Rattus norvegicus: one gene and its partner. The protein of the gene in region 1 interacts with the protein of each later gene in a biochemical or structural test. Links are inferred from orthologs where the notes say so. Each region holds a gene or a part of one and is shown in the gene's direction. Other genes may lie near its edges.

The links. The genes of interacting proteins can lie anywhere in the genome.
Region 2: the proteins of Cfh (region 1) and Ptx3 form a complex in vitro, tested with the Homo sapiens proteins (3 studies listed by IntAct, with this or other methods). The link is inferred for Rattus norvegicus from reciprocal best matches to the Homo sapiens genes CFH and PTX3.

The regions. Positions count from the first base shown.
Region 1 is NC_086031.1:54,161,280-54,166,010, reverse strand, and holds the start of Cfh (complement factor H precursor), read left to right. Parts: upstream 1-1,487; 5' UTR 1,488-1,536; coding exon 1,537-1,594; intron 1,595-4,731. UniProt on the Homo sapiens protein: Glycoprotein that plays an essential role in maintaining a well-balanced immune response by modulating complement activation.
Region 2 is NC_086020.1:152,795,906-152,800,563, forward strand, and holds the start of Ptx3 (pentraxin-related protein PTX3 precursor), read left to right. Parts: upstream 1-1,657; 5' UTR 1,658-1,817; coding exon 1,818-1,947; intron 1,948-2,373; coding exon 2,374-2,775; intron 2,776-4,658.

The DNA.
Region 1 (4,731 bases):
TATTAAGCACTCTGAAGTGAGGGTTTGTAAATTGTTCTGATATTAATGTCTTCCATGTGGAGGGGTCCTAGACTGAAGAAAAAACAGAGTGAACCTTGCAACATTCATCATTGCTTTCCGTAGCAGGACTGGTGTTGCCATGTGCCCAGACGTTCCTGGGGCTGTTCTTCCCTGATTGACAGGCTCTCTCTGGGAACTGTGAGCAGAAATAAATCTTTCCTTCCCTTAACTGCTTTCTCAGGTATCTTGTCACATCCACTGACAAGCAACTACTACAATGAGTTATTAGAAGTTGAATTCCTACACATTTAACAAAATAGGAAGCAAGTCATCAGAAAATGCCAATCTGCATAGATTTGGGATATTAGACCATTGGGTTGAGTATCTCACTCCTGAAAGTTCTTATGGACTTAAGAAAATGCTTAAATGCTCTGTTCTCAGCTAATTTATCTATATGCTTGAGCTAGAGCAGTTAGCAAACCCTACACTGTATCACATTAGTGGTCCTACTTGTACTATTTTCTAGCTGGAATCTGTCATTAACATGCACATGAATAACTAAAAATTGTGCTGTATGTATTCAAACTATTGAATATTACATAGAAAGAAAAATGAACAATATGGAGTCATCTCCAGCAGATGAAGTTCTCAGTGAAGGACTCTACATAAACAAAGGAGTAAATTGCTTCCTCCACACTTACACAAAGTTCAGGTATATAAGGTCCATGTTCTTGGAGACACTGACAGTAGGTGGAAATCTGGAGGGCACAGAGGGGTTACCAAGGCTAGCAAGTTGGGAGTTGAGTATTGGCCTGGGTTCAACATCAATTCAGCATATTACAGACACTTTTTCACACCTCTGCTTTCTTATTATACAATACCGTAACTAGAAGCTAGAAAATTAGCATGTCAAATTGATGGATCTTTTGAGTTATTCATTCATAGCCAACGAGACACAGACCAGTTGCCTCACACATATAAAAAGAATTTCTTGGGAGACTCATTTCATGAATTTTAGAAAAACCAATCCCATAATCACCATCCCTCAGCATGACAGTCTTGACAACATTTCTGTACTATGCAGGGTGTTGGTCGTAAAAACACTGCCTAACGGAAGTTCCCTCAATGGTTTTTAAATTCGCCTTCATTGCTTTCTGTTCTGTGGTTTGTACACAGTAGAACACAGTTTCAAGGATTATGAAATCCAGCCCCTGCTCACATTTCCAGAAACGTGAACTTGTTTCCAAGCAAAACAAGCTGTGATTTACAAGAACAGCCCAGCAGGTCACAGACAGGGCGCAGTAACAGATGAGATCAAACGCCTATGCTGCTGGACTTGTGGTCTATCCTTTTAGTTTACTTTGCAGAAGTCGCTCATGGGTGGAGCATCTAGAAATCCTGATTTCCTAAACTAACTTTCAACTTCCCTTTGGGGCAAGTCTGTCTCTGCTGTAACCACAGTTCATAGCAGAGAGGAACTGGATGGTACAGCACATACTTCTCTTCGAGTCAACTGCTCCCAGATAGATCCAAGACATGAGACTGTCAGCAAGAATTATTTGGCTTATATTATGGACTGTTTGTGTAGCAGAAGGTAAGCTTAAAACCACCACCTTTCTCCCTTCTGACTGAGCCGCATTATAAAACATTTGCTGATAATATTTCTCATAGCAATTATTCAAATTAAGTCTAGAAAATGTGGGTAATTACTAGTCTGTAACTGAATGGCTTTTGGTGGTAAGTTTAAAAACCGTGAACCTTTCACTTGACTATTGTAATTGATAGTTCAGCTTGATGTAAAACTCAAGACAGTGCTTTAAACATGTTTTTGCAATCCATAATTAGGCATAGACATTTAACTTGTAGTTATCAGGAAATACAGGCTCCTCTTTTTCTCATGAGTGTCCCTGAAGTACTATATGTAAAACTAGTTAGAAATATATAAATATCCAAAGTCAATGAAAGCACTTACTTTTTTCTTTAAATGGGTGGATCGATTTCAGGCTTATTTCTAAACCTTCCTAACTACATCACTTAGCTGATATTTCCATGGTTTTAAAAGTTTCGTATGTAAGACCTTCAAGTATGAGATAAAAAGAAAATAAAATTTGACATGTAACCTGCATTGGACGGATCTGATTTGTTTCTGGTTTTGTTTTCTGTGAATACGTGTGGGGCATGTTTGTTTCTGAAGCCATTTTGAAGTAGGTAATGTGACTGTCGGAGTTCTTTCATGACAATAACAGGGTCTGACTTTATTATTCACTTAAATTCTCCCAAGACTGCTTAGTTTATCCAATGAAAGAGCTTTGCTTTCCCAGTTTAGGAAGGGTACCTAGTTGTGGGATAAACATTTAATCAACTCTTCTTTGTGTTTTGATTGTTTAAGATAGGGTGTCACTACACCCTTGAGCTCACTGTAGTCCTCTTGTCAGCAGCTTCCTATGGGCTGAGGTTACCAGTGAGAGTGACTGCCATGCCTGACTTAGCACTTTTTATATAAAGTGAATGACATAACTTTAATAACTTCCTTAAATGTTTCTCTTAGCCAATGCATTGTAATTTGAAGCTTTGCTGTAACCACTACTCAGTAAAGAATACTAAAATTATCCTCTGACTGGATGTTTACCAACCCACATAAGAAGAGTAGATATGGTTTCTCAGTTGTATCTTTTACTAAAATTCTGAAAAAAAAATTTAAGGGTATTTTATACTTTTTGAAAGAGTAAACATTTTCAATTATATTTTTTAATGTTATTCCTTGAATTTTAGCTTAAGAGTCTTGTATTCAGATGCCTTATAGACTAAGGCAGTCATTTCCTTGTATATGAAAATATAAGTATTGCTGAAATGAAATGTGATTATATTGGCCAGGAATTCTAAAGCAATGTTGATATTACCAAGCATAACTAAACTTTTTATTTTGTTAAAGGCAATGTTTTCATCGCTTATTTTAGTGTTCTACTTGAATAATAATGTTTACTAAGAGGTTTTTAAAGATATATAAGATTAAAGAAAGAACTATTTTATGTTTAGCTAACTTTTAAGTCTTAATTGATATAAATCGAATTAAGGTGTCTACACAATTACAAAGCAGAATTTCAATATTAAAAAGGAAGTGCCGCGATGTTTGCGTGATACTTTAACGCTAATGATTTAAAAATCCTCATTTATGCCATGGATGTCAGCTGATTTTTTTGTTATTGCTGGATTTGAATTTTCATCAGTATGTATTCAAATGTGGTGCCAGTTCTTGCTGATGAGGTGGGCAGTTACACTGTGTCCGATACTGTTTCACAGGGATTTTCCTTTCATTCACAGATGAAAAGAGAGTTTAGTTTCTAAATCATTATGTAGGGTAACCTCATGGTCTCCACAAAATGAATGTAAACAGATGGGAGAAGTTTCATGGATTTTCAGTGGACACAGTACTCCCACTTTAGTCTTAGCTTGGCTGGTGACCCGTGTCTATCTCAAATGTAAACAATTTAATCAGTCTATCAACTTAAGAGGAATTTCAGCAGAAGAGCTTGGATCAATTAAAACAATTATGTATATGCTGCAATGTTTGCTCCTGTTTCTATTCTATTAGATGCTGGCTACTAAGCTGATTTAAAAAAAAAAAGTTTGTGAAATGCTCTCATATTAGGCTTTCTGAAACAGGGAAGAAAAGATTTCATAAGTATTTTCTGCCCTGATAAAGATCAACATTCATCTAAAACCAATGTTAGCTGGGCCAGCAGGAACGGTAAACACAATAATGATCTTGCTTGGCAAAGAACCTGGCTACTTGAGTTCAATTCATGGGCCCCACCTGGTGAAAGGGGGAAAAAAAGCCTCCTACAGACTGTCCTCCAGTTTCCTCATACAGGCATGGCAACTGTATGTTACACCCACTCAAATTAAAAGAAAATAATAACCATAACAAAAAATTTAAACTCCACTATTAATAATTAAAGAATAATAACCAAAAGAAGAACTATGAACCCAGCTTGTTTGCCTCCCTCCCTCCGTGCCCCTCTCTCTCTCTCTCTCTCTCTCTCTCTCTCTCTGTCTCCCTCCCTCCCTCCCTCTCTCTCTCTCTCTCTCTCTCTCTCTCTCTCTCTCTCTCTGTCTCCCTCCCTCCCTCCCTCCCTCTCTCTCTCTCTCTCTCTCTCTCTCTGTCTCCCTCCCTCCCTCCCTCCCTCCCTCTCTCTCTCTCTCTCTCTCTCTCTCTCTGTCCCCCCCCTCTCCTTTTCCCCTTTTCTACTTGCCAAGGGCTTTCTCATATCTTTTTAGTGCAGTGCTTGACTGTATTCACACTTCTAGCTGCCAAGAACAGTCAATGGTGCTTCCTGCAAAACCACACGCTGATCAGAATTGGGTCAGATTTACAGGACAACCTGTAACATAAGAGAGTTCCTTGGTTGAGCCGTATAATTTCAGTTCTGGGGAATGGATTATACCCAAGCTTTCCAAGCATTTTACTCTCACAATTGAATATTGTATGAAATTAGGCCGCAGCCCAGGATTGCTGAAATGAACCAATTAAACCTGTGCTGAAACAAAACCAAATAACCACTGCGTGCTTTCTGGGGAGATAAGTGTTTTCTAATCCTGGAGGTTTAAAGGACAAAAAGGTCCTTTCAGGCTTAGAGACTTTAATCATAGAATGGAGAATTGGTTTAATTCTATAATGTTTTAAGTATATGATTTTTTCAAACTTAGTTTAACATTGATGTGGAAAAATTG
Region 2 (4,658 bases), on another chromosome or scaffold:
AAAGAGTGGATCAAGGAAAGTGTGGTACATTTACGTGATGGAATATTACTCAGCTATTAAAAACAAGGACACCATGAAATTTGCAGGCAAATGGATGGAACTAGAAAATATCATCTTGAAAGAAACCCATGGTATGTGCTTACTTGTAATTGGACATTAGCTATAAAGTCCAGGTAACCATGCTACAATCCACAGACCCATTAAAGGAGCAGTAAGCATTTTTATCCAGTTCTCCTGCATTTGCTTTTTTCAGATAGGGTCTCTCATTGGCTTTAACTTGCTCAGTAGGCTTAGCTGTCTGGCCAGGGATTCCCAGGGGCCCTCTCTTTAGTACTGGCATTAGGACCCTACATCACCACATCAGGGTTTTTAGTGTGGACTCTAGAAATCGAACTTGAGTCCACAGTCTTCAGAGAGAAATACTTTACTAAGCTATGGCTCCTGACTGCCCTTTAAACAGTATCCTATTGTCTCACAGGACCATCTCTTTCTGTGAGGCCTTAATGATTTTAAAACATACTCATTTTAAGCTGCTATTTCAAATAAGTTAAGCTCTTGAGCAGGGGCCTAATGCTGTTTTACTTTCTGTTGATTCTTATTCATGATGCCCTATTCTGAGATCAATGTCTAGCTATGTGTAACTATGGATTCATTTTTTACTGTGGTGAATGGTACATGCATGTGTGGTCCAGGTGCTTGAGGGCACTCAGTCACTTGTGATTCTCTGTGCAGGGTCAGAGAGAGGAGTTTACCTATGGAAATCCAAAAGGCAGCCTTCTGAGAGACCTGACATGAGGGTAGTCTCCCCCTCATGATCAGACTGTGACTGATAACCCTTCCCCTCCATCTCTTTTGTGTATTGGGGACTTGAATCAACTCAGGAGCTGACCCTCTGGGAGTGGTAATCTCTAGATCTTTGGCCACTGTGTAGTTTTCTTGTTTTATTTGGAGTTCATTTAAATGTTTTACTTTTTATCACTATTATTATGACCTATCAACGTCTATTCAGGTACTTTGCATGTGGTGGGGGCAGATTTTCAGTGCTTGTTCAGACACACACACACACACACACACACACACACCAGGAGTCACTAATTTAAATTTAAAACAGGAACTTGAGAGGTACTCAAGCTCCTCAAGGGAGGTACTCCCGCCCTCCCTTTCCTGTTTTATTGGGTTTTTACCCAGTTGTACTGTGTTTATTAGTTGCCACTCCAGAGGAGTAAAGACAAGTTAGTCAATCAGGATGCATTTGACTTCTAGAGTCATATAAGTTCTTAATGGGCTGGGTTATTTTGGAGTCAGAATCATTTTCTATAGATTGGACTTGAGAAAGTATCCAAAAAAAAAAAGGTTAAAAAAAAGTTTTCTGTAACTTCAGGGGTTGTGGAATAATGAAAGCTCACACCAAGTGCCAAAATGATAATTTGCCCCACATCTCTGTGTTGCCCACCCCCCAAAGCGCTAGCACTTCAGGTTACAGCAACTAATCCTCAGGGGCACCAGAAAAGTCCAGCTTCCCTCCTCTTCTCCCCCTGGCCTGCCTCTAATTAATCTGCCTGCAGCGTGGACCTTGGTGGTTTAACATTGTGCAACCTCTTCAGCTCCCTTGCCCTCCCACCCAACCCCCTCCCCCAAATCCAGGGGAACTCCCTCGCGCTGTGCCACCGACATTACTCATTCATCCCGTTCAGGCTTTGGAGCGTTTATTAAGGGCTTCGCTCCTGCCTTGCTCTATCTCTCCCGGGCTCTCGGATCACTAGAGAACCTCGCTTCTTTCCCTGTGGCGGCTGCGAGCAAACTTCGCCTCTCCAGCAATGCATCTCCCTGTGATTCTGCTTTGTGCTCTCTGGTCTGCAGTGTTGGCTGAGACCTCCTATGACTATGAGCTCATGCATGTGAATTTGGACAACGAAATAGACAATGGACTTCATCCCACCGAGGACCGTAAGTTCATTTTAACTTTCTCAGCTTACCAAAACTACATAACTCACTTGGGGGGGGGTTAATTAACATAATTAACATAAGTAGCCAATGAAGCAAGCTAAAATTGTACTTTATTTGTAAAAACAAGGACTGCCCGAGAAAAGCCAGAGGCTTTAAATTATTTTTCTAACACTTACAATGAGTTAAGCTATGCAAAATCACGGCTCTTTAACTGTTTTTAGCTACATAAATGGCATTTCCCCAGTTAGCTTAACATGTCTTAGAAAGAATGGTCCTATGTCATCTTTGAGAAGTTTACAACGCTGTTTTCACAGCTATCCTTAGAAGGAGAGGGGTTGCTGGGGACAGGCTTAAACTTGGGGTCACCAAAAGTGCAGCTCACTGCCAGCCGGGACAGGCTGGTAATGTGTGTGTCCTGCGATCTAGCCACACCATGCGACTGCCGCCAGGAACACTCGGAGTGGGACAAGCTGTTCATCATGCTGGAGAACTCGCAGATGCGGGAGGCCATGCTGTTACAGGCCACTGACGACGTCCTCCGCGGGGAGTTGCAGAGGCTGCGGGCGGAACTGGGGCGGCTGGCGGGCGGTATGGCGAGGCCTTGCTCAGCCAGTGGCCCGGCAGACGCCAGGCTGGCACAGGCGCTGGAGCCGCTGCTGCAGGAGAGCCGCGACGCGAACCGCAGGCTGGCACGCCTGGAAGATGCAGAGGCGCGGCGACACGAGGCGACAGTGCCTAGCCTAGGAGCGGTGCTGGAGGAACTGCAGCGGACGCGCGCCGACCTGAGCGCCATGCAGAGCTGGGTCGCTCGCCACTGGCTACCCGCAGGTAAGCACCCGGCGTAGAGCCCACGGTCGGAGGGGGACTCAGAACCCGGCTACTTTTCATAGGCACACTCACAGAGCTCAGACACATCACGCCAGACAAGCTCATTGCCTTGTTAAAAGCCTCAGGAACCCAAAAGAAAATGGGATTTAACCATCGGTCTGGAAGTAGATATCAGAGATCCCTGACACTGGATCCGACCAGATAGTACAGGAGTCCATTGGCAGGTGTTTAACGGTGATCCTTCTTGCTGCCCCGAGTCCCTCCGTTAGGGATTTCCACGTCTTCTAATTTTATTCTGTCACTCTCTTTAGCTCAGCTCTGGTTTCCCCGGCACTATTTCAGGGCCTGGACTAACTTCAGCGACTTTCCCAGCCCCTTAGCCGACTCCTCCCCCTCTACTCCTTCTGAGCTGACTGGAGCCTAATTGGATCTCCTGCAAACTCAGCAGAACTCCAGGACTCCCTCATCCCAGTTGAGTTCAACAGTGATGGTCAAGGGGTGCAGGCTCTGGGGCATGTCCTATAAAGTCAGGCGCAGGAGTCAGAGGATGTAGATGCCTGCATCTTGTGTCCCGGGGGTGGGGCACACAAGAAAGGGATTATTTAAGCTGTGCAACTTGTCAAAACCCCACATAAAGCCCATAAAATGGCACACTCTTAAAAGTTAACGAAACAGGAAGAACATTGGAGCCTAGTAATATGGTTCTTAAGTTAAATTTCTGATGGGGGCAGTGATGTTTTGTTGTAGATTTTTCTAGAAAATTAGTGTCCTATGTTGACAAATATCCCTGGCACGTCTCTTGAGTCTCAGAAACAATGACAAACAATAGCATCTCATACTGTATCTCCAATCAGATGGAGCTTATCGGATGGGGTGGGAAGTAGGAGACCCCAGAGCATGGCCCATTCCTTTACAGAAACAACTACGCTACGATCAGTCCTTCCTAACTATTTGAAGGATGGAGGCCATGCCCTTAAATCCTAAATAAATCTTCAGAGAAAAGCTATAAAGTCGAATCTAAAGCAAACCCTCACTGTGATCATTTTGTGATAATTTTAAAGGCATGGATTTTTTTGTTTTGCAAACTCAGTAGAGTCATGAACATATAATGTGCCCCTCAAAGGAAGGATTACTTTGTATCCTCACCTGTTAGTTAGAAAATATATACATTCCCGAATTCTAAACTGTTGGTGCTTATTACCCAGTAATACTTCCCCCTGCAGGCTGTAATTGTCCTCTCTCTCCTGCCAGCCTGGCCCCCAGAGGATTCCTAATCATGTTGTGGTCGGCCTCCTAAGAACCTAGTTTTCATTTTGCTTAGTCTTTGATAATATAATTACAAAGAGTTATTAGTTAAAAACCATTTCATGAGAGAATTTCTGACATTTCAAAGCGGTCTCAAGGGACTCGATCACTGCTCTGCAAAAGAATCCCACAAAATCTGCTAACATACTACTTTACAGCATGAACCCAAATAGCTGCCATGGCCTCCAGAGATGCTGGGTCTCCCAGACACAGTCACGGGCCACCCGGGAGTGTAATCAGCACTGCCTGGCCTATTTAAACAGGAAGACAGTTAATTAGGTTTAGTGAATGTTCCGTTGGACAGTTCTTTAAACTTACAGAGGCCAGGAGATTCTAAATGCACACAAATGGCAGTCTTTTGTCCCCACAATCATTTGATTTAATTGTTGTAGCTAGAAAAAGAATCTTATCTTGAATATGCCTCATTTAAATTTTTCATGAATGATTAGAAATTTTTAAGAGTTCTGCTATTATTTGGGGGCATTGCTGCCATGATTGCTCTTATGCTATTTCCCTATATATCAATATTTCTTTGACTATTAATAAAAGAGATAGTTTATGTTTGTTTGACATTTTTT